Pelodiscus sinensis: one gene and its partners. The protein of the gene in region 2 interacts with the protein of the main gene of each other region in a biochemical or structural test. Links are inferred from orthologs where the notes say so. Each region holds a gene or a part of one and is shown on either strand. Other genes may lie near its edges.

What was found.
Region 1: the proteins of SREBF1 (region 2) and MED23 form a complex in vitro, tested with the Homo sapiens proteins (2 studies listed by BioGRID). The link is inferred for Pelodiscus sinensis from reciprocal best matches to the Homo sapiens genes SREBF1 and MED23.
Region 3: of the proteins of SREBF1 (region 2) and SIRT1, one has a biochemical effect on the other in vitro, tested with the Homo sapiens proteins (2 studies listed by BioGRID, with this or other methods). The link is inferred for Pelodiscus sinensis from reciprocal best matches to the Homo sapiens genes SREBF1 and SIRT1.

What each region holds. Positions count from the first base shown.
Region 1 is NC_134713.1:93,693,500-93,701,585, reverse strand, and holds the start of MED23 (mediator of RNA polymerase II transcription subunit 23), read left to right. Parts: upstream 1-5,049; 5' UTR 5,050-5,354; coding exon 5,355-5,414; intron 5,415-8,086. UniProt on the Homo sapiens protein: Required for transcriptional activation subsequent to the assembly of the pre-initiation complex. Component of the Mediator complex, a coactivator involved in the regulated transcription of nearly all RNA polymerase II-dependent genes.
Region 2 is NC_134726.1:33,268,678-33,276,483, reverse strand, and holds the start of SREBF1 (sterol regulatory element-binding protein 1), read right to left. Parts: upstream 3,033-7,806; 5' UTR 2,753-3,032; coding exon 2,647-2,752; intron 1-2,646.
Region 3 is NC_134718.1:27,706,473-27,713,878, forward strand, and holds the start of SIRT1 (NAD-dependent protein deacetylase sirtuin-1), read left to right. Parts: upstream 1-4,371; 5' UTR 4,372-4,446; coding exon 4,447-4,831; intron 4,832-6,813; exon of another isoform or gene 6,814-7,291; intron 7,292-7,406. UniProt on the Homo sapiens protein: NAD-dependent protein deacetylase that links transcriptional regulation directly to intracellular energetics and participates in the coordination of several separated cellular functions such as cell cycle, response to DNA damage, metabolism, apoptosis and autophagy.

The DNA of each region.
Region 1 (8,086 bases), on a different chromosome or scaffold from region 2:
TTTGATCTGAGGAAGTGGGTCTGGCCCACGAAAGCTCATCATCTAATAAACCATCTTGTTAGTCTTTAAAGTGCTACATAGTCCTGTATTTTGTTTCTGAATCACAGTGACAGGCCAGGCGTCCACTGCACCCTGTTGCAGAAATGTCTCCCTCCTAGGGTTGCCAGATGGTTTCCCAAAAAATATCGGACACGTGGTATTTAAAAAAAAAAGGAACATGGGGAGGCGGGGCCACAATTGGCACTGGGAGCCTGTGATTGCGCAGAAGCCTTGCAGGGGAGGGGGAGTGGCTGGAACTCCTAGCCATTCCCCCCGGCTAGGCTTCTGAAGTGCCCAGAGCGGCGATTCAGAAGCCTAGACACATGTCCGGTATTCTCTGATTTTTTTTACCAGATAAATAGCGCAAATACCGGACTGTCCGGTAGAATACTGGACACCTGGCAACCCTACTCCCTCCCTTCCCACCTTGAGATCACTCTAGTGTCATAACACTGCTGTTGGAACACGAAAGTCCAGCACTAACACGCTATATTGTCTTCTGATTGCTGCCCTCCAATACAGATGCTCCTTCTGTACATCCCAAGCAAAGGAGGAAAGAAAATTAAATACAAATCAGACCCCTCTACACACCCGCATACTTCAAAGCAATCACCTCTCTCCTCCCTGCCTAGCCTCTGAAGGAGCTCCAACACACAAATGCCACAAACATTTGACTCCCAAACTCGAATAAAGAAAACAGTGAGATCAGTGCACCTGGAATGGAAAAGGTAAGGGGGGAAAGAAGAGGGATTAATCAGAGTTTTCAAACTCCAGATTGAATCCAGCAGAGAGCAAATCACTCAGCTGGGGTGACCATGTTGTTTGCCAAAGCTAAGTTTAGGACAGGGATGAGGAAGCTAAGGCCTGGAGCTGGATGCAGCCCCTGGCTTGCCTGGATATGGCCCCTGAGGCTCAGGGTTCCCCCCACAGCAATGGGAAATATGTGCTGGTATTCCAGCCTCCTCTCCCACCATTCCCCTTAGGCTCTGGTGTACAAGGGGGCTGAAGCACACAAAATCTACTATCCTGGACCCCACTTAGCTCTGGTATATGAGGGGAACATGGGAGGTGTCTTTCTCCTTCTGAGTTGGGGGCCACATCAGTGAGGGTTTGTTTGTTTGTATTTTGCTTCTCACTTGTGTTTGGCCCTAGACTTATTTTTCTGTGGGACAGCAGCCCACAAACGGTTCCCCACCCCTGCTTTAGGCGTCTCTTAAAACTGATAAACTGAAGTATGGTTAGATTTAGGTCAGGCTTAGAATTACCATTAGTGCCAGTTTGTGAGTTCAAGGCAGGATTAACATGTGGACCATGCTGAGCACCAAATTAGATTTAGTGTGTGGCAGAATTAAAGACCAGGATTCTGGTTAGGGCTGGGTCAGGTTTGTTTTACTTCTCCCTCTGGCTAGAGAACTGAGAACGCATGCTGCAAGCCTTACTAAACATACAATGTTGCCATTGGGGTGAATAGCTGAGACTGGGCATGCACTAGGGATGTTAAATTTAGACTAATTGAATAGTTGATGGAATTTTCATCGACTATTCAAATAGTCGATAAGGGCGTCTCTGCCTTTGAAATGTAGCAAGAGCCTCACTGGGGCCAACAGGGGGACTCAAGTATTCCCCCGACTCAAGCTGGAGTCAGATGAAGGTAGGGAGGATAAGGTAGGGTGGTGGGGAAGGTCCTCCAGTGAGATAATGACAAAGGCGTCACCCTCTGGAGCCTGGGGATGTATTTTTGAATCCCCCTGGAGCTTTTGTACATTTCAAAAGCAGGGAGCACTGGGCCACAGGGGGACTTCTTGAGTCCCGCGCTGGCCCCATACTCTCCACAGCGCTTCTGCTTTTGAAATGTAGCAAGAGACTCCCAGTGGAGTTAGTGTTGGGGTAAACCGGCTTTTAAGCTGGCTCCCTCCAGCATCGGCTCCTGCTCCCCCGACTTGCTGCCTCTCTCTGATAAGCATATCCTTATTGGATGGTCAATACTTGCTTACATCCCTACCATGCACAATGCATTTCACAGGCTCTGTGAAACTCACTGAGATGGAAGAATTCACCCTCTCGTTACTTCTACTGTTACTCCCACTAGCGTAGCTATACTAATGTAAACTTTTGAAATATGTGGGGTTCGCTTGTATTAATTTATGACTTCTATATGCTCTATATGTTTGTCTGATTGTTGTAAGGAGGTTTATTGCAAGATAACAAGATTATTTAAGAAAACCCTGTTTGCTTCAGACATCTACTACTAATCCTTAAGGTCCAATGCATGAGCCATCCACTTCGATTACCAGACTAATTTATTAGGTTTTTTTTGTATTTCCAGGAGGCTCTCCAGACTTGTAAATATACAAGAACAAATATCCTAACTAGAAGAAGAACACTGCTGTAGCACCTTAGCGAAGATGCTATTACACAGACCTAAGCAACAGTAACTATGTGAAAGAAGTTGTGTGTACATAACACTCTCCATGGGGTTTGAGTGTATAAAAGCATCACTCCAGATGGTGGATTTTTTACACACCACAGGGCTTAGCATAAAATGGACCGGGGAGGGGGGGTGAGGGGAAATGTACCCACGACAGCTGTTGAGTTGTTTTGCAGTACGGTTTTCTCTTGCACCTTATTCCTACAAACAAGGCTCAGCAAGATTTTGGTTTAGGAAGGCAGCCTGGCCACCGTAGGCACCACTGCTCCCAAGCTCTGGAGAGGGTGCCCAGCAGTCAGTGTTTTTATATCCTGGGAAAATTCCAAAATTCTGGGAATTTTTGAGTATAATGTGTCAAAATGGGAAATTGGGAATTTTCTTGAAAATCTGTTAAATCCTGGGAAATTTTCAATAAAATTAAAATTTCTGTTCATTTTGTCGTTCCTTTGGTATAAAAATTTGCAGACCATTCAGATTTATCAAAAACTGCTCTCAGTTGGTCAATAGGGTTGCCTGTCAATTTTTAGAACTCATTGAACTTGATGCTAAAAATTGAACAGTGGAAAGCATTTATACTAAATTCAGGGAGTCAATGTTCAAAAAAATATCCCATTGAATAATATTTTGGGTGTTGCTTGTGATGGTGCAAATTTGATGATAGGAGCAAATAATTCCTTTTTCTCTAAACTTAGAGAGGATGTTCCAGATGTTGTTTTGTTGAGATGTATTTGCCATATGTCAGCCCTGATATCAAGTTCAGCTTCTACAGTTTTGCCTAATTTCGTAGAGCAGTTTATAACAAATATCACTAACTATCCAGCACATAGTGTTAAAAAGAAAGAAGAAATTGAGGAGATGGTTGAATATTTTCTCCATTTAAATTTATCTATGTTAAACTCAAGTCAAACAAGGTGGTTAGCTGTACACCCTTGTGTAAATAGAATATTAGTGCTGTGGGATGCCCTGTTTAACTATATACAACTTGAGTGTGTCGATCAAAAAAGACCAAAAGCAAAAGAAATAGACGATGCAATGTGTAATCCAGAACTTAAAGCCTACCTACTATTTTTGAAATATGTTTTGGATTACACGAACAAATTCAATGCTCTCTTTCAAAGCCAATCTCCACTCATTCATTGCATTAAACCAGTCAGTGAACCTTTTCAAAGTAATTGCAACAAATTACTTACAACCATATTTCCTAAAAGGTGACAATGAAAGTTAATGTGTCGCATCCCTCTATTTTTATCAAAATTAATGAAATGTATACTGGTCCAGAGTGTGAGGAGTCCTTAAAATGTATTGATCCTAGTGTAGCTATCAATGTAAGAAAAGTGATTCAGCATTATTACATCACTTGTTGTCAAGAAATGCAGCACAGGCTGCCACTTGACTCAGTTGTTTTCTCAGAGGTTGGATTTATAGATCCTAAAATTTGTCTTAGGATGTTGATGTAGATAAAGAAAAAAAAGATATCTCCAAACTTTGTGCAGTATTTAAGATACATGTGAACTCTGCTCAGAGTGAACTCAAAGCCTTGCCATTTTCTTTAGAATCAAATCAAACTGAATGTGTAAAGAATAAGCCTATTAATGAAATGTGGCATGAAATTTCTAAAACGAAACATTTTTCTGAAAAATGTATGTTTTCAAACATTTGTAAATTATCTCAAAAGGTTTTAGCATTGCCACATTCAAATGCAGCATGTGAGAATTTTTTCAATGGTTACAGACATTAAAACTAAAAGGAGTAACATGAAAACTAAAACACTTAATTCTAGTGTAATTATCAGCTCAGCTTTTAAAGCAAAAAAAATGTTCTAGTTTTGTAATTACAAAGAAGCATTTAAGTTTACATAATAAAAATAAGTATGAATATGGATATGCCAGAAAAACTGGTGGTCAGACTGATAAAAATATTAATGCTGGTGATGACATTTCTAGTGAGGAGTCAAGTCATGACTCAACTGAAAACTCATCGTGATAGTTAAATATTATGTATTAAATATTCTATTCATTTTATATGAAACGAAAATATTTTATATTTGACGACTTCCTTTATTTATCATATATAACTGAAATGTATACTGAAGTGTATACTGAAGTGTATACTGTACGGATTTTATCCTCCAGGAGTAAAATAATTAAACTGTTTTATTATTCTTTCATTGTATGAAATACAATCCATGAAATTAAGGATATTTGGATATATGAAAAATAATTATTTTTGGATGAAAAGTTCAGCTTTCATAAAATTATATTTTTAATTATAGAGAGCATCATAAAACCATCAAAATTATTGTCGTATATTTCGAGTTATTAATTATATATATATATATATATATATGTATATAAAATAAAACCAACGAATTAACGATACATAAAATAGCCTTTATAATATGTAAAAAATAATCTGGGAATTTTTCAGCAGATTTGGGACAGCGCTGGCCTGGGAAAAGTTGGCAACACGATATAGAAACGCTGCCAGCCGTGGGGCTTGCTGCCTAAGCCCTGCTGAGCCGGAGGGAGTAGAGGATGCGCCCCCGCCTGAGCACCAGAGAAGCCTGAGGCCTCGCCAGCCTGGGCCCGGCGGTGCCCGCCCCTGCAAAGGCAGAGCAGCGCTCGGCTTGTGCGCTGGGCGCGTCCAGCAGCAGCGGGGCGGGCCTCAGGCCGGGGAGCGAGGCGCGCGGAACTGCCCGGCCCGGGGAGCTGGTTCCCGGCGGGGCCGGATTCCGGGACGCACCTTCCGCCGGGGCCGCGGCCGCCTGAGCCAGAAGCCGCCGCCGCTGTTCGGCTCCTCAGCGCGGCCACCCCCAGGCGGGGCTGCGGGACCCGGGCCCGGTTCGGTGCCGCCGCCCGCAGAGAGTCGGGGGCCGCGGGGCGGGGCCATGGCCATCCCGATGGTGCCGATGGAGACCCAGCTGCAGAGCATCTTCGAGGAGGTGGTGGTGAGCCCCGGCCGGGCGGTCGTGGGGCCTCTGCGGGGAGGGGCTGGCTCGAGACTTCAGTGCTAAGTGGGGTGCGGGCCTGGCGCGCTTTGGCCGGGGGAGGGGAACACGGGCCCCGCTGTGCCGGCGTTAAGCTATTGAAGAGCCTCACGTGTCCCGCTAAGAACGGGCGGGCAGAGCGAGAGAAGAGTAAAGCGAAAGAGCCTGGGTCTCGGCTCCCTTCTTGCCTAACTGCTGTGGGGGGAGTGATAGGTGGGGCAGAAGCTGGTTTTAAGGAGGGATTTAAAAGAGGACAGCTGATGGCTTTGACAGCCAAAGTGGGTTGGGTTTGGGGGGTTGTTTTCATAAAGGGTAGCGTGGTGACGTGGGAGAAATCATGAGAATGCTTGAGCCAGAAGAGGGTGATCAAGGAGGCATCACTGGTCAAATGAAGACAGGGTTGGTGGGTCGGTCATTTAGTTATGAAGATGAGTACCACAAGTCTAAATGATAATCCTGAAAAGCAAAACCCAGGAGTTTTGTGTTTGATGTAGTGGAAGAGAGGGGAGCCAGTAGGCTACCAAGAGTAGAGAGATGTGGTTGGCCCTAGAGAGGTTAAATTTTGATTAATTAACTAATTGAATAGTCCGTGGGATTTCTATCTATTATTCCATTAAGTCAATAAGGACTAGCAGGCGTTCTGCCTTTGAAATGTACAAGAGTCCCAGCAGGCTGAGGCTGGGCTCCATGTGATGCTTGCGCTTTGAAATGTACAAGAACCCTTGCTTGAGCTCTTGTACAGTTTAAAGTGGAAGCGCCTGCGAGGAGCCCAGGGTCAGTGTGGAACCCCCCGCTGACTCCAGGCTCCATGCCGGCACTTACGCTTTCAAATGTACAAGAGCCCCAGCAGGGACTCGTGTACGTTTAAAAATTGGACCGCTCTCCATGCAGGCGCTTCCTCTTTTTTTTTTAAATGTACAGGAGCCCCAGTGGGGATTCTTGTACATTTCAAAGTTGGAACTCTGCTGCTGCACACCTGTCCCCTCCCATGGAGCTGGAGCGAACTGGCTTTTAAACCAGCTCTGCCCCCCCCTCCCCCCCCCACCTCTCTGTGAGTGGGGGAGCGGCTAGTTGACTAGTATGTTGACTATCCGATAAGCTTTTGCTTATAGGTTAGTCAACTAATGGATTAATCACATCCCTAGTTGGAGCTAGGAAAATAAGCGGATCCCTTTATTTTTAGTAGATTTAAGGAATGTGATGTGGCAGATGTCACAGTCAGAGATTGGGGTTATAACACTCAAAGTCTTGGATGACAATGGCCTCTACAAGAGATTTGGCAGTCTGATGCAAAAGGCTGAATCTTAAGTAGTAGTAGTAAGGCAGCAGTTCTCACAAGTTACTCTTCCTGGCAGCCACTTTGACTTGTTTTCCTAACATATTTAATTAAATTTTGGCAGAACAAATAAATATGAACATATACATGTCCAAATCCTTCTAACTTATTTGTGTAGAGTTCAAGGGATTTTTTTTTCTTTTTTTTTTTTTGGTTTACAAATTCAGTAATACAAATAATGTAGTTGTCTCTATTCTTCACTGGACCTAAACAGAATAGAAATACAAATAAAGTGCTTTGTACCATCCTATCTTTTTTGCCTGCTCCTTTTGCTCATTTCGGGGTGGTGGTGGTGGCGTTTGTTTAGATTTGCTAGCTAGCAAGTCATCTTCTGTGAAAAGTAGGGATGTGACCAAGTAAGCATCACCCTTAATAATTAAGGGTGATGCTTACCAGGTAATCGTTAACCATTAACAAGGAGCAGTCCCCATGGGTGGAAATTCAGGAGACTATCTGTTCCAAACCCTTGCTCAAAGCAGGGCCTCAACTAAATCATTCCAGCCAGGGATTTGTCAAGCCAGGCCTTAAAAACCTCTAAGGTTGGACATTCTATCACCTCCATATGCTTACCACTCTCCTAGAAAAGTAGTTTTTCCTAATAACCACCCTAGACTTCCCCCACTGCAGTTTGATCTGCTGCTTAGCCAGTTGGTAGCCGGTTGCTGCTTAGCCAGTCAGTAGCAGTGAATGGGATTTTTTTATCTTAAGTGCAGGACCCTGCATTTGTCCTAGCTGAACCTCATCAGATTTTTTTTTGGCCCAATCCTCCAATTTGTCTAGGTCACTCTGGACCCTATCCCTGCTTCCTGCGCATCTACCTCTCCCCCCCAGCTCAGTGTCATCCACAAATTTGCTGATGGTGCAATCCATCTCTTTATCCAGATTAATGAAGATGTTGAACAAAACTGGCCCCAAGATAGACATCTGGGGCACTCCACTTGATACTGGTTTCCAGATAGACATCAAGCTGTAAGATTTTAAAAAGCATAGACATACTTTAAAATTTTAATTTTAAATGTTTATTTGGGATGTTAAAATGGTTAAACGGTAGCACTTGGCTGGTTAACCATTTTAACCTAGTTCCTGTCCAGCCCTATCGCAGCTGCAGCTGGGGGTCCCACCACCCAGCCCAGTGGCTCGCGGTGACCAGGGCTTCTCCAGCCCAGCATGTCTGACCACCTCTGGAGTTATTGGCAGTGTTTATTTTTTAAAAATGTGTGTGTTAATTTTTTTTTAAATAATCTTTTTATATCTACCTTGCAATAACTAAATTAACAAACTTGAAATACTTTTTCTG
Region 2 (7,806 bases):
TTTATGGTCTCATAGAATGCAATTAACTGGAGGTGGGTATGGACAACAAATGCCAGATCCAAACTCCCTCTGCTCTGGCTCTCAGCTGCACAGTCCACATATTCAATAACATAGCTGCCTTTTGCTAATCTTCTCAAGGATAGGCTGTGTAAAAATCCAGCAGGATTGCATCATGAAGCTGTTCTAGTAACCCTCCAGAAGGCCGATGAGAGGAATTAATATTGCCAGAGCAACCTTAAAACTGCCACATTAGCTTCCCCCACCCCACTACCTTCTTTCCCTCGGTTAATAGTAACCCTTAATGTATTGTTCTTTATTATTGCATCAGAGAATACAAACTACATGCTGGGCAAAGCCACAGGAACAGCCTTAACTCTGAGCAATCTTCTGCTCAAGTGACCAACCACACAGGTTTCAGCTTACATTTACCCATCACTTTTCCATCAGTTTTAATGCTCAGAGGGATCCTTGTGACCATCTACCCTGACCTCCAGCACAACACAGGTGGGTCAACTCCATGCTAAGATTCTTGCACCAAGCCCATTCACTTGTGGTTGAAGAGAACGTGTCTTTTGGAAAGTTTCAGAGGGGAAGCCGTGTTAGTCTGTTTCAGCCAAAACAAAGAGGAGTCCTGTGGCAACTTAAAAGACCCACACATTTATGAGGGCATAAGCTTTCGTGAGCTGCAGCCCCCTTCCCTAATATCTGTGTAAGCCTTTAATGTACCACAGGACCTTGTTTTTTTCTTTTGGAAAGACATCTGTTCTGGATTTAAAGAGAGAAGCCCGCACCCTACTGATGTTGATGGCAAAAGTCCAACAGAGAATTCTGATGTCAAATGACAGACAGCCCATTTCCCTTGGTCAGCTGTTCCAATGGTCAGTTAAACTCTCTGTTAAAAATGTGTCCCTTCTCTTCACTTTGAATCCATCCATTTTCAGCTCCCTGCCATTGATCTCCTCCTGCCTTCAACTGCTCCATGAAAGCACCCTCTTGGCAGGTTATTTTCCAGTTTGTTTGCTTTTAATTTGAGACGGCAGAAAAAGAAATCACCTTCCGCCACTTTTAAACCCAGCTGACAAATCCAATAGGTGTATGCATGCCTTGCTCCACAGTTAGCCATCCTAACAGTCTCCCATGCGCCACTAGCTTTGCCACATGTGAGCCTCAAAAGGCACCCTCTGACTAGCGAGGCAGGCAGCACCTGCTGGATCCGAACTGGACTGGCTTCAGGTCATCCATGAAACCAGAATGTATGTAGCGGAAGTCATGGACAGACGAATGTCAGAAAGGACGGGTTGAGTGCGCAGCAGGATGCAGATGTCACCTCTGTTAAACCAAGCTCACTTAGGGCCTGACCCAAACTCACTTGAATGTCTCCCAGGGACCTGACCAGGGTCTAGAACCGGTCTTCCCACCCTCCTATGGATACTTGGGGGATTTCCTCCTTTCTAAATGGGCCCCTTCATCCCCACTGTCCTTGGGCATCAAAAATGGCACAAAATAAAGTCCAATCCAGGCACAGACCTAGCCAGGAGAGCCGCAGCTCAGGAGGGGAATGTGCCTAGCTAGTCCTTGGCCAGTATGGAAATAAGTAAGATCCCTGCGACAGACTCTGGCGGAGACCCTGGGGCAGCCTGACCCGCTGCAGAGGCTGCTACGGTTTCACCAGGGCCCGCAGGCTGCAAGCAGCACCCCCCTTGCAAGGAGCCGGGTGCAGGGCAAGCAGCATTTCCAAGCCAGGCTCCTCCGCTCTGCCCCAAGCAGCATTTCCAAGCCAGGCTCCTCCGCTCTGCCCCAGGCAGCTCAGGCAAAGGGGCTGGGGAATGAGCAGATGCCCAGGGCCAGGAGGTCTGGCTTGGCCCCTGCTGGGCGCTCCCTGCTGCACTGGGGGCCCTGTTCTCCAGCAGGCCAAGGCCAAGGCCACGCCCCCTCCGCCGCCCGCTCGCGGCTGAACTCTCCCCGGCAAGAGGGAAATGACCGAGAGTAACCCTCCCGCTGACGTCAGGGCCCCGGGGGAGCCAAGGGGCGGGGCTTGGGGCAACAACTCAGCAGCGGGCGTGGAGCCAGAGCCCGGAGCAGCGCCGGGCTGGTCCCTTCTTAGTGGCGCTGGCTTCCCTGCACCCCCTGGCAGGGGCCAAGCAAAATCCTCAGCGAGTAGTGACCCCCCACCTAGGGGCAGTGTGGGGACAGCCCCCCCCCGCGAGAACGGAAACTCCCCCCCCCCCAGCCATGCACCAACCCGGAGAGCACCCCGAGATGCCGCCCGCCTGCAGAGCGCGCCCCTCTCGCACACACGTGGGCAACACGAGCGGCTGCACGGCCCGGAGCTCAGCCACAGCGCCGGAGGATGGGAAGGGGCCGAGCCCCTGACAGATGCAGCACGGAGGGGGGCAGCAAATAACCCCTCCTCCCCCTTGATGTTGAAGGGTAAAGAGCCTTGGAAAAAAGCCCAGCGCCCTTCCCCCCTAAGCCAGGCGGGTTCACAAGTGCCTGGACATCAGGAACATTCACCCCCGCTGCCCGCAGACCCGTGGCCGAGCTGCCATTTAGCAAGGACTTGAGCCGGACCCAGCTGTCCCCTGCCCCGCTTCCCCACGCCTGCTCCCCGTGGGGGCAGCTGCCCGGTGCCCGGCCGCTACCCACCATCGATGTCGCTCAGCAGGGCTGTGTCTATTTCGCTGGATTCCTGCAGAGTCAAGGAAGGGTCCAGGCTGTCCAGGGACGTGTCCTCAAAGGAGAGGCTGGTCATTGTCCGGCCTGCAGGGTCGTGTCCCCCCTGCCGGGGGGGGGGTCACGTTGGAGGCTGCTGCTGGGCTCTAGGGGCTTCCCCCCCTTTTCTTTTTCCTGCTAACAAATCCTTCCCCCGGAGGAGTCCATGGACACGAGCCACTCAGCAGCCCACAGGAGCAACCCAACTTCTGGGCAGCGGCCGCAGCCTGCCGGCAGCCCCCACCTCCATAGCTGGGGAGGGGGAAAAAAAGTTGCTCAATGGAACTGTGCTTCAAACCTGCTGCTACCGGGGAGGGCAGGGAGGGGTGGAGCCCCATCTGCTGGCCCCACCCCCTCTGCCTGATTGACAGCCACAGCCTTGCAGGGCAGGGGGGGCTGAGCCTGGAGGCTGAGTCAGGGGAGCCCGCGGCGCGGAGAGGGGCAGGCGCGGGGGTCCCCTCTCCCCTGCCGCGGATTGGAGCTGCAACGGGCAGGACTTTCCCGGGAGGGGGCGGCCGCGTGTCCCGCCGACGGAGACAAGCGGGGTCTCCCCTTGGCGCGGGGACCCAGCGCTCCCGGGATCTGGTGTCACAGGCGCGCTGGTGCATTTCTTTCCGGGGGGGCTAAAATGACCCCCCCCACACCAGCGCGCCCTGCAGTGAGACACGTTGCGGGTAGCGCACCGCGCCGCCCTAAGACTCCAGCTAATCTGTGACTGCAGCGGAGAGCGGCTCCGAAAGGGGGGAATGCGAGCGCCCCCCCCCACCCTATACCGATGTACCCCTGGAATCCACAGCAAAGAGCCCCCCGGGTTTTAGCTGCGCGCGGACCCTGCCGCCGCAGCCTCCCGCTTCTGTTTGACAGCCAGCCTGGACAACCCACTCCTCGAGGCAGAGTGGGAAGCCGGGCTGATCACTGCGTGAGCCTGGAGCCATGGCTTGGCCTTTTCCCACTCACCCTAGTCTAGGGTGTGTTTGTATCAGGTTTAGCTAGAGCTGCGTGGGGGAGGCAGACCCAGAAGAAAGTAAACCCGCCCCTAGCCAGGCCTGCCTTTTGGGGACTATTTATGTTTGCCATGTGCAGCACTCCAAGAGAGATCGATTGCAGAGTGGCAACCTAACCCTAGATTTTTGCACAGCTCTGCAGCATGATTTGCTACTACAACTCCCCGCTCGCCTACAGCTAGCAGTCTGAACAAGTGGGAGGATAGAAAGAGAGGGGCTACCCCGCTCCAGATGCCTGAGAGAGGAGGATTAGGGAGAGTGCCACCTAGCTGGCCCCAAATCTCAGAGAAATATCTTGTGTTGTCACCGATCCGAGGCTGAATTAATGGAGGGAACAGGCCAGGAAGACAGCACAATTAGTCTCTGCAATGCTCAGCTGAGAGATTCTGCAGATTTCAAAGCTCAGCTACACTGACTAGCAAGAACTGAACTTGTTCTGAAGCAAGAGGTGGTGATGAACAGGGAAAGGGCAACTGCCTTGAAGTCCCCGGGGGTGTGATTTTGGGGTGTGGTTACCATGGTGTAATCATCTAATAAGATTAGGAGTCTGGGGCAAAGCTGCCAAAGTTGAGTTTATATCCACAGATAGCCCACGGACCCTATTTGCAGATGGATCCAGATTCAAATTTAATATCAAGCCCACCCTAGAGCACAGAACAGATTCTTTCACCCAAAACCATGGCAAAGGAAGTTGGAAGCCTCTTTCAGGCAGGGCCATCCTTCCCAAGTATGAAACACACAATCACTCCGTGAACAATATCAAAGAACAGCCTCCTGCCTCTGAAAGAAGTGACTACCTGGCCTCCGTCCATACACCCTCACTCCCTCTTGCTAATGAGCAGCCAGGCTGGGACTCCCCTAGTGATAAACTAATGCTACTAAAGCCTAGAGACAGGAACCTGCAGGCATCTGCCTTCTCCAATCTAGACAGCATCTTTCAGTTCCTTCCATGTTTTAAACACAGGCAATGTATAATGTACTTCTGCCATGAAATGGGTATATAGGTCACTGAAAGTGGCCTACACAGCAGTAGCTTCCAGCAAAGGCTGGCGTCTAAAAGGACACATGATTTGCCAAAGGTCAGTGGCAAAGATGAAGACGGTGTAGACGGAGCTTGGTCCTGCCTTGAGGGTGGGGGGCTGGACTCGATGACCTCTCGAGGTCCCTTCCAGTCCTATTATTCTATGATTCTAAGACAGAACCCAGGAGTTCCAATTCACAGCTGCTCTAGATACCATACTGATTCCTCTCCTTCAGCCCCTTGGGCAAAAGGCACAGTAGTAAGCACCAGGTGATAGCTTTCTCTGGCTCTGATGATCCTGATGATCCAGGGTATGGAGTGGCTACAAGGAGAGGATATGAAGATGAGGGCTGTTCAGCTTAGAAAAGAGACTATGGGTGTGGGTGTGAGAGAGAGAGAGAGGGTATGTCTACACTACCCTCCTAATTCGAAATAGGAGAGTAATGTAGGCATACCGCAATTGCAAATGAAGCCCGGGATTTGAATTTCCCGGGCTTCATTTGCATAAAGCCGGCCGGCGCCATTTTTAAATGCCGGCAGTTCAAACCCCGTGCCGCGCGGCTACACGCGGCACGGAGTAGCTAGTTCGGATTAGGCTTCCTAATCCGAACTAATCATTCCACGAGGAGTACAGGTAGTTCAGATTAGGAAGCCTAATCCGAACTAGCTACTCCGTGCCGCGTGTAGCCGCGCGGCACGGGGTTCGAACTGCCGGCATTTAAAAATGGCGCCGGTAGGCTTTATGCAAATGAAGCCCGGGAAATTCAAATCCCGGGCTTCATTTGCAATTGCGGTATGCCTACATTACCCTCCTATTTCGAATTAGGAGGGTAGTGTAGACATACCCCGAGAGAGAGATGGAGGTCCGTAAAATCATGAACAGCAAGAGGAGTAAATTGTTCTTTCCCATAATACAAAAAACCAAGGGTCACCCAAGGAAATTAACAGGCAGCAGGTTTAATAAAAACAAAAGGAAGTACCTTTTCCACATAATTTACCACCTGTGGAACTCATTGCCACAGGGTGTTAGGAAGGTCAAAACCAGATGACTTTATGGCAAAGGTTCATCAGTGGGTTCTTGCCCAGATGGTCAGCAATGCAGCCCCTAAACCTGACTACTAAACACCAGAGAGAAAGAGGGTGGATTACTCCAACTGCCCTTTTTTGCACATTCTGCCTGAAGCTCTAGCATGGTCCACCGCTGGAGACAGGACACTGGGCAAGATGGATGGTTAGGCTGACCTAGTAGGGCTGGGCTTATGTTCTTTTGGAGAATCAATACATTTGACAAAGTCGATCATTGCCCACGAAAACTTATGCCCAACTAAATGTTGTTAGTTTTTAAGGTGCCACAGGACTCCTTGTTATCCCTGAAGTGTACCCCAGGGACAGCAAGAGCATTTCAGACTAATCTCTGATTGAACACAGCCTAGGCGAAAGATTTGGCTGTGTGAATAAGATCAGGAGTTATTGCAAAATCTACAGTAGCCTTCCAGCACGAGGCATTACAATCAAACGTGTCTATTTTCCCTGCCCCTCAGGCAGCTCCCTGCTCTGCATAAGCAAACTTTTGCTGGGGGTTAGCCCTTTCTAATGCAGCTGCGGCCCCTTGCAGTATCTTTTAGGCCCACACAAGCTACTTGAGTAGCCAGTGTAGAATGAGACCAAGTAGCATGGCGATGCAGGGGTTAAAAGAGGACCCGCCTCCATGCATTTCAGGCGACCAATGGGTTCCCGCCGGGGTGGGGCTCCCCCGGCCTAAGTTCGGTTGAGCAGTGGGGAAACCCCGCCTGTAGAACCAGCGGTAGCAGCCAATGGGCAAGCCTGGCCGGAGTGGAGTGATTTTGCGTCACTGCTGCGATTACATCATGTGAATCCTCCAGGGGAGGAAGCAGCTGGTGCACGTGGTTGGAGTCACCAAACTCTCCCCAGGCTGGCTGGGAGGGAGGGGGCAGTGGGAAGGGTAAACAAACCAGGCCAGGGCCCAGCTGGGCAGGCCTGGACTTGCTCTGGCAGGGCTTGGGAAGCCAGTTTGAGGCTCTGCCAGGACTAACCACTACTCCTGGAAAAACTAATAGCACCTTAAAGACTAACAAAACATGTAGATGAGCTTTCCTGAGTGTAACCCACTTCTTCAGATGACTGGAGTATTAGAAGTCCAGATCCAAGAATAAAGAAGGGGGAGGGAAAAAATAGAGACAGTGAGTAGATGGTTCAAGTAATTAGAACAGGCTGATAAGAACAATTAGCACCTCCATTGTTTGTTAGGTACATTAAGTCACAAGATGTGGAAAGTAGTGTGTGAGCCAGCTGATGTCCTTGTTCATACTATTTGCATAAGAATTAAACTTGTAAATGAAGTTAAGTTCCAATCTTTCTCTGGGAATTTGGCTTGTGGAATTGGGTGACTTGGAGACCCATTAACGAGTGTCCAGGTAGATTAAAGTGTTCTCCAACAGGTTTTTGTGTAGTGCCTTTTCAGCTATCGGATTTGTGTCCATTAATTCTTTCCTGTAGAGACTGTCCAGTTTGGCCAATATACGTGGCAGTGGGGCATTGTTGGCATAGATCAGTGTTTCTTAACCAGTGGTACAAGTACCCTTAGGGGTACTCAAGAGAAGTTGGGGAGGGGATATCAACACCTGAAATTGGAAGAAAACTGAATTTGTTTTAAGTTTTACAATGTTTTATTATTTTTGTACTTTTTACACCCAAAAATTTCACCACTCACCTGGCTATGATTAAGTTGTTTAAACAAATGTGTTGCAATAATAGAAAAAAATTGTGAGTATCTGAAAACTGTAGGTAGTGAGGCTATTCAATATTATTTATTTATTTTTTTAAAAAAGGGGTACTTTATTAAAAAGGTTGAGAAACACTGGCATAGATCATATTAGTGGCTGTGCAGTTAAATGAGCCTGGCCAAGCCGGGGGGGAGAAGATGAGGCAGCCAACACCAGGGACAGATGTGAGTTGCCCAGCTTCATTCACAGCCAGGAGGCACTCAGATGAGGATAAGAGTGCTGCCAGACACCACGTAGAATAGAAAGTCGAGGTAGCAACTGAAGC
Region 3 (7,406 bases), on a different chromosome or scaffold from region 2:
AAAGTGGAGCCTGGGGTCAGCAAGGAGTCCCAGGTGACCCCAGGCTCCACATGGTGCTGTCACTTTGAAATGCCACGTGCAGCCCAGCGCCAGCTGAGGACTCCCATCTGGCCCTGGGCTCCACACAGCGCTGCCACTTTGAAGCACCTTGTCCCCCCAAACCTTGCTGCCTTTTTCTGATAGAAGTAGCAAGCAGAAGGGGGGGAGGGAGGAGAGGAGAAGCGACTAGTCATTCACATCCCTAGTTACAACTATATGAAGAGTAATACACAGGATTAACAATATAAAGCATAGTGCTCATTCTTTGATTATGGTCACTGCTGTTGGGCCTTTTTAATTTCTTGGGAATAATAAAGATATTCTTAAACTTCATAGGGGTAGCCAAGTTAGTCTGTAACAGGAAAAAATTAAGAAACATCAAATAGTCTAGTAGCACTTTAAAGATTAACAAAACCTGTAGATGGTATCATGAGCTTTCGTGGGCACAGCCCACTTCTTCAGATGACCAGAGTGTTGAAGTCCAGATCCAAGAATAAATAAGGAAAGACGGGGGGGAGGGAGAAGGAAAAAAATTGAAGGGGAGGAAGAAAAAAAGACAGTGAGTAGATAAGCTTCAAAAGGACAGCCGAGCGAGTCTGTAACAGGAAAAACTTAAAAACCAACAAACAATTGAGGGGTATGTCTACACTAGCTCGTTAATTCGAGCTAGGTAGGCAAATGAGGTGACCAGAGTTGCAAATGAAGTCCGGGATTTAAATATCCCGGGCTTTATTTGCATGTTCCCATCTGGTTGCCATTTTGAAATTTCACTAGCCCGAACTTATTGCCGCGCGGCTACATGCGGCAGTGAAATGTTAATTCAAACTAAGTCCCAAGGAGTAACAGTTAATTTGAACTAAAGACTTAGTTCGAATTAACGTTTCACTGCTGCATGTATCCGCGCGGCAGTGAGTTTGGGATAGTGAAATTTCAAAATGGCGACCAGATGGGAACATGCAAATAAAGTCCGGGATATTTATATCCCGGGCTTCAATTGCCTGCCTACCTTGAATTAACGCGCTAGTGTAGACATACCCTAATAGCATCTTGACTAAATAATTATAAGAGGCTGATAAGAACCATTAGCTTGCACTTGGAAAGGAAAATGAACAACGCCAGATTCTACACAGACATTAAGAACCATTAGCACCTTCATTGTTTGGTTGGTTTGATATCACAATTCAAGCCATTAGTATAAGAATTAAACTTGGGAATGAAGTTAAGCTCCAATCCTTCTCTGTGTATTTGGCTTGTGGAATTGGTCAAACAAAACAGCGACTTGGAGATCCATTAATGAGTGTCCAGGAAGATTACAGTGTTCTCCAACAGGTTTTTATGTGTTGCCTTTTTGGATATCTGATTTGTGTCCATTAATTCTTTCCTATAGAAACTGTCCGATTTGGCCCAATATACATTGCACTGGGGCATTGCTGGCATTTGATGGCATAGATCACATTAGTGAATGTACAGTTAAATGAGCCTCTGTGCCCTAGATCACAATCCAAACCCTTGCACCCTTTCCTACACCCCTTCCTACACTCATACCCCTTACCCAACCTTGCATGCCAATGCACTGAACCAGGTCACAATCCTCTCCTTCACTCAAACTCCCTCCCAGACTTCACACCCCCTCCTGCATCCCAGTCTCCTATCCTGAGCTCCCTTCTATAGCCCTTGACCACTTACCAAATTCTTGGAGTGCTCCCCCATTAAAAATTATTGCTCACCCCTGTGCTGGCTGCTTCTGGAGCACAGCATGGTGCCCCCAGGACAGGCAGGCACCAAGTAGCCGAACCCCAGCCCCCGTCCTAAATCCTTCCTGCACCCCAAATTCCTGTCCCCAGCCTGATAAAAGAGAATGAGGATGGGGAGGGAAGATGGGAGTGAGCAGGTGCGGGGCCTCAGAGAAGGGGCGGGAAGGAGACCAGGAGCCCCCCCAGGTAAGCCTGAGTCGCCCCCCCCCCCACACTCCCACCCCAAAGGAGCCATGTGCTGCTTTAGTTAAGCTGACCTAACTCTTGGTGGTGGCATGATCAGAGTAAAATTCTATCAAACCTAGCTACTGCTGTTAGGGAAGGTGGATATCAGTGGTCACCAACAAGTAGATTAGGATCTACTGGTAGATCTTGGAGCCTTTGACAGGTGATCCTGAGAGGTTTGGCCGGGAGACTATCAAGTGCCAGCACTTCAGCTTCCCCTCTAAGTGCTACCCTGTTGCTCCTTCCCCCAGCCTTGGAACTGCCCCCCACCCATGGGAGCTTCCTGCTTGCTGTGCAGGGCACGGGAAGAAGAGGAAGGGGGGTACTGATCTCAGGGTGCCCCTCCCTCCATCCTGTACCCCATCTCCACAGAGCAGAGGGGGACAGGGGTGGAGAGAGTTTGATGGCTGCTTTTGGGAGTGGTGCAGGACCAGGGCAGGGGTGAGCCTACCTTAGCCCCCTGCACCACCACCAAGAAGCCACCTGTGGTAAGAAGTATCCAGCTGGAACCTGCATTCTGAACCCCAGCCCCCATCCTAAATCCTTCCTGCACCCCAAATTCCTGCCCCCAGCCTGATAAAAGAGAATGAGAATGGGGGAGGGAGGATGGAGTGAGCAGGTGCAGGGCCTCAGAGAAGGGGCGGGAAGGAGACAAGGCAGGGGTATTTGGGTTTGAGGTAGATCCTGGATTGCACTTAAATTCAAAAAGTGATCTCATGTTTAAAAAGGTTGGAGACCACTGATCTACATCAATGAAAAACCCTTTTCCATCAACATATGAAGTGTCTACACTAAGGGTGTGTCTAGACAACAGGGCTTTTTAAAAAGAAGTGGTCTTTTAAAAAACAAAATTTCCCCGCATCTAGACTGCTGATACTTTTGAAAAAATGCAAGTCAAAAGAATGCAGCAGTTTTTTTGATCATGGAATACCTCATTTTACAAGGATTAACGCCTTTTTTTGAAAGTGCTCTTTCTAAAAAAAGGCGCTATGTAATGCAAACTGTGCTTTTTCAAAAAAAGCATCTAGACTGCCAGGGTGCTCTCTTTCAAAAAAGCGGCTTGCTTTTTTGAAAGTACTGTTTGTAGTCTAGATGCTCTTTTTCGAAAGAGGCTTGCAGTCTAGACATCGCCTAAGAGTACCACAGTCATGCTATGCCACAAAACATAGATATGCCCAAAGTACACTAATAGCAATGCCTGTTACTATTTGTAGAAAACCATGACCTTATGAAGAGTGTAACATTCATCGTATTGCCAGCTCATAATTTTATAAAAAGTCTTATAATACTAGATCATCTCCTGCAGGTATATCCTGAGAATCTTAGCTTGTATTTTAAAAAAATTAATGTGAATCTGTAGCCTTAAAGGATACAGAGAAAAGCAGGAAAACAAGAGGCTCAAAAAGCAACAAGGAAAATGTATGAAGCAAATGCGAGTTTCTTTTGGGCTTTTAAAAAGTTTCATTTTTAAGCCACTCAGATTTTTTTAATACACAGGGTTGGCAATTCTCTCTCTCCTTCTTCAACCAGGTTTTCCTTTTTCTCCTACTTTGATGAAAACAGGAATCCCAGTGATTTTAAGCTTGCCTGCACAAACTGGTAACAGTTTAATTGCAGGTGTGTTTTAAAACGGATTTACTTAAATCTGTGCACATTTGCATATGCATACATAATATTTATATTTAGCAGTGGTTTATTTGGGGGGTTAGTTTAAATCTTGCAAAACACAGTTTAAATTAAACAAATACTCAGATGAATAAGCATCTAAAACGATAAACTTTTAAACACACCCTTAGTTAAACTTCTACAGCTCTGGCTGTAATGCAAGCCTTCTGATTTCTTAACACCACTCCCTCCTCCAACTTGTATTAAAAATAGTGGCACCTCCTGTCCGTCCTCTGCAGCCCTCACTGGGCTGATCGCTTTGGGGTGCTCCCCTTCGTTCTCAGCCCCTCTCCCCTACTCTGTGGGACCATTTGCTTTTTCTTTCTCACCTCCCCACCCCTAAGGCCTGCTCCATCCGTGCCCTTACAGCGCTTCCTCCTGCCCCGCACAACATCCCAGCTGCTCACGCCTCCCGCAGCCCCGCCCCTTCCCGCGCTCCCCTTACATAACGCCTCGCACTGGCAAAGCCCCGGCAAGCTACCCCGCTAGTAGGTCACGTGAGGGGGTGGAGGGCATCGGCGAGGTGCGCCCAGCCTTTGTACCGGGGTCACGTGACGGCGGCATTTCCCACCCTATCCCTTCCCCTCACGTGACCCAGTTTGTTGTTGTTGCGGCCTCTGCGGGGAGGGTGCCCGCGTGGGCGGCGGTGAGGTCACGTGCAGGGTTTAAATCTCTCCCTGGAGGGCGGGGGGGATCGGGGAAGGGGGCTGTAGCTGAGGCGCTGGTGCGCCGGACTGGGGGAGGCGGCGGTTGCTGTTCCAAGATGGCGGACGAGGAGACTCTGCTCCTCCAACCGCGCAGCGGCCCCTGTGCCGCAGCCGAGAGCGCCGAGCCCCTTCCTAAGCGCCAGCGCCTGGACTTGGAAGACGGTGCCGGGCGTGGCTCGGTGACGGGCCCAAGCCCAGAGCGAGGCGTTGGGACGGCGCCCACCGCAGGCTCCGCAGCTGGGGCGGTGGGGGGGCCGGCGGCGGAGGGCTGGAGCGGCGCGGACAACGGGGCCGGGCTGCGGGGCCTGCCCCGCGAGGAGCCGCCCCCACAGCAGCAGGAGGGGGAGGGGGCGGAGACGGCGCCCAGTGGAGACGAAGCGGACACGGCCATTGGCTACAGACGGTCGCAGTATTCACACGAGGTGCCTGCCCCGCGTCCCGGTGAGGATCCCCGGCTTGACCCCGTGGCGGGGAGCGGCGCCCTTCCTGCTCCCTCTCCTCGCCGGGGCCAGTGAGAACCCTCCCCTGGCCGCCCGGGCACAGACAGTTCAAGGGGGGAGGCGGCTGCGTTACTCAGTGGGCCTCCCCCTTCTGTGTGACACCAGTCACCGAGGCCCCTGCCCCACCGCGCGCACGTAGCCGGGGGCGAGCCGTCTGCCACGCTCACTCGCGGCTGGGCAGCGTAGGTCGTTCCCTTCCCCCGGCCTGGCGAGGCGCAGTTAACCTCCTGCCCTCCTCCCTACACCGGCTGGGTTTGGGGAGAAGCAAGCGAATTCCTCCACCCGCCACAGAGTCATCTGCTCCGGGCAGGTGTTGAGCAGTGGGCAGCTGACCCGTCACGCTCATCTCCCTATTTGGAGGCGCAATGGAATCAGCCGCGCTTACGGCCCCCATCCTTTTGCAGCAGCATCTTATTAACGGGACACCGATGCTAAGTTTTTAGTTTCGTTTTTTGCACACATAAGCTTGTCAAATGCCCTTTGCGCTCAGTGATGTGCGTTGATTTATGTATGTGTGCGCTCGCTGAGCGTGTGTATTATAGAAGCATGTCTTCTGCTCCATATTGCTACATCTACTTCGGTTTGTAGATATAGAAAAATCGTGTAATTGGCCATTGGTTTGTACTCCTATGGGATTTGTGACAAATTTATTTTTCAACTTATAACTTTTATAGCCTGTACAATAAGTTCAGTAGACACAAAATTATTACACTGCTTCTGGAACTGGAAAAAAATATTACTATGATAATGTAGAGATTGCTAGATTGAAGTTTGAGTGATACTATGTTGATTTCTGTGCTGCTTATTTGTAGATAGTTTTTATGTATTGCATGTGCATCCATTATTCCCAAATTCAGTTTACCCTCTTAATTTCACACTGCTTTTTCAGTTTTATTTCCTGGACTTCTAAAAGGAGACTAATTTAAGTCATGTTGTAAACAAATTTATTTAATAATGTTAATAGCATCCTGTAAGTGAAATTTTTAAAAGGTTGTTTCCTATATGTATTTGGTATTCTTTCAATTTTTGTTTCCTGAAAATAATTTTCATGAGAGTTGTGATCCACTGAGCAAGTCTTGCCAGCTCCTTCTGTAATTGGCCCCAATACTGAGGGCTTTGCCTGAAAAGATTCAGTAAGCATACTAACCTTTCTGGAAACTGCCCTGCTTGAGGAATCACCTGACTGTGCAGAGGGTGGTATAGTTAAACAGGCTCTTCTACTGCAAAAATTTCTCAGTATAATGAGAAATATGGGTAGGGCCTACCAAACTATTAATGATCTAAACCCTAGTCCTTCAAACATTTCCTTAACTTGGTTTAATTTCACTGAGATATATCACATAGCCCTTTTTGGTGAACATAAAGAAATCTATACCAAGGCATGCAACTTGTGTTTGCAAATGTATAAACTATCACTTCTGCTTATTTTATGCATAAATCAGGCTATCTTCCTATAAAGACTTGAGGTGAGAGTGGAAACTGTCCAAACACACAAGACACCATGAGAGGCTAGATTACCAAAATAGCACTCATACTTTTATATTGGTTTCAAATTTTAACTTGTAATACCATGTCTCTTTTAGGGATGTAAGTGACTAGTTGATTATCTGATAAGCATATGCTTATTGGGTAGCCAAGTAGTGACTTGACTAGTCACTCTCCCCCCACTGCCTCTAAGAGAGAAGCAGAAATTGGGGGAGGCGGGGAGGATGGGGAAGGGAAAGCAGGAGCCAGTGCTGACAGGGAGCTGGCTTAAAAGCCAGTTCTCCTCTTCTCTCTCTTCTCCCCCCCCCCCCCAGCACCATTTATAGGGGGACAAGAGAGGCAGAGGCATCGCAGGGACCAGGCCCAAACCAGGAATTAGCTGATTCCCGTCTCGAGACTGTTCCCAGATGCTGTGCCTCTGCTTTTTAAATGTATTAAGAACCACCTGGTGGCTCTTAATACATTTAAAAAGCAGAGCCACAGCGGGGTTAGCTCACTGGCGGGGAATTAACCCTGCTGTGGCTCTGCATTTTCCCCATTTATTGACTCGATTAGCTGCTTGCCTGCAATTTAACATCTCAAGTCTGTTCTTCTATTCCTTAGTTAATAGCTGTAGGGCTTGAAAGATAATCTGCAAAGGAAGATGGGGTTAGGATTTGTACTGCCCTTCTCCTCCTTCCCCCCCACCCCCATAAAAGGGGTATCAACTGCATGTTCTGCTTTTTTTAACATAAAAAAATGAAGACCATGGCCTTATCCAGAATAGGATAAAGAAAATTAAACAATTTGCTTTTTCTTTTAGGAGGAGTTGGGAGTGAGTTACATTTCTTTCCTTGTTCTTCAATTTAAAAATAATCAGACCTGTCAGATCTGGCCTTCCTGGGTTTTGCTGAAGACCTGAGGTTCTAACACCATGGTATACAACCAATTCTGCTATAGCGAACTAACCACGTTCAAGTGGCCAAATACCACATTGTTCAAGCCAAATACTGTAGCCAATAGTGGCTAGTGTATTGGATACCATGTTTCTA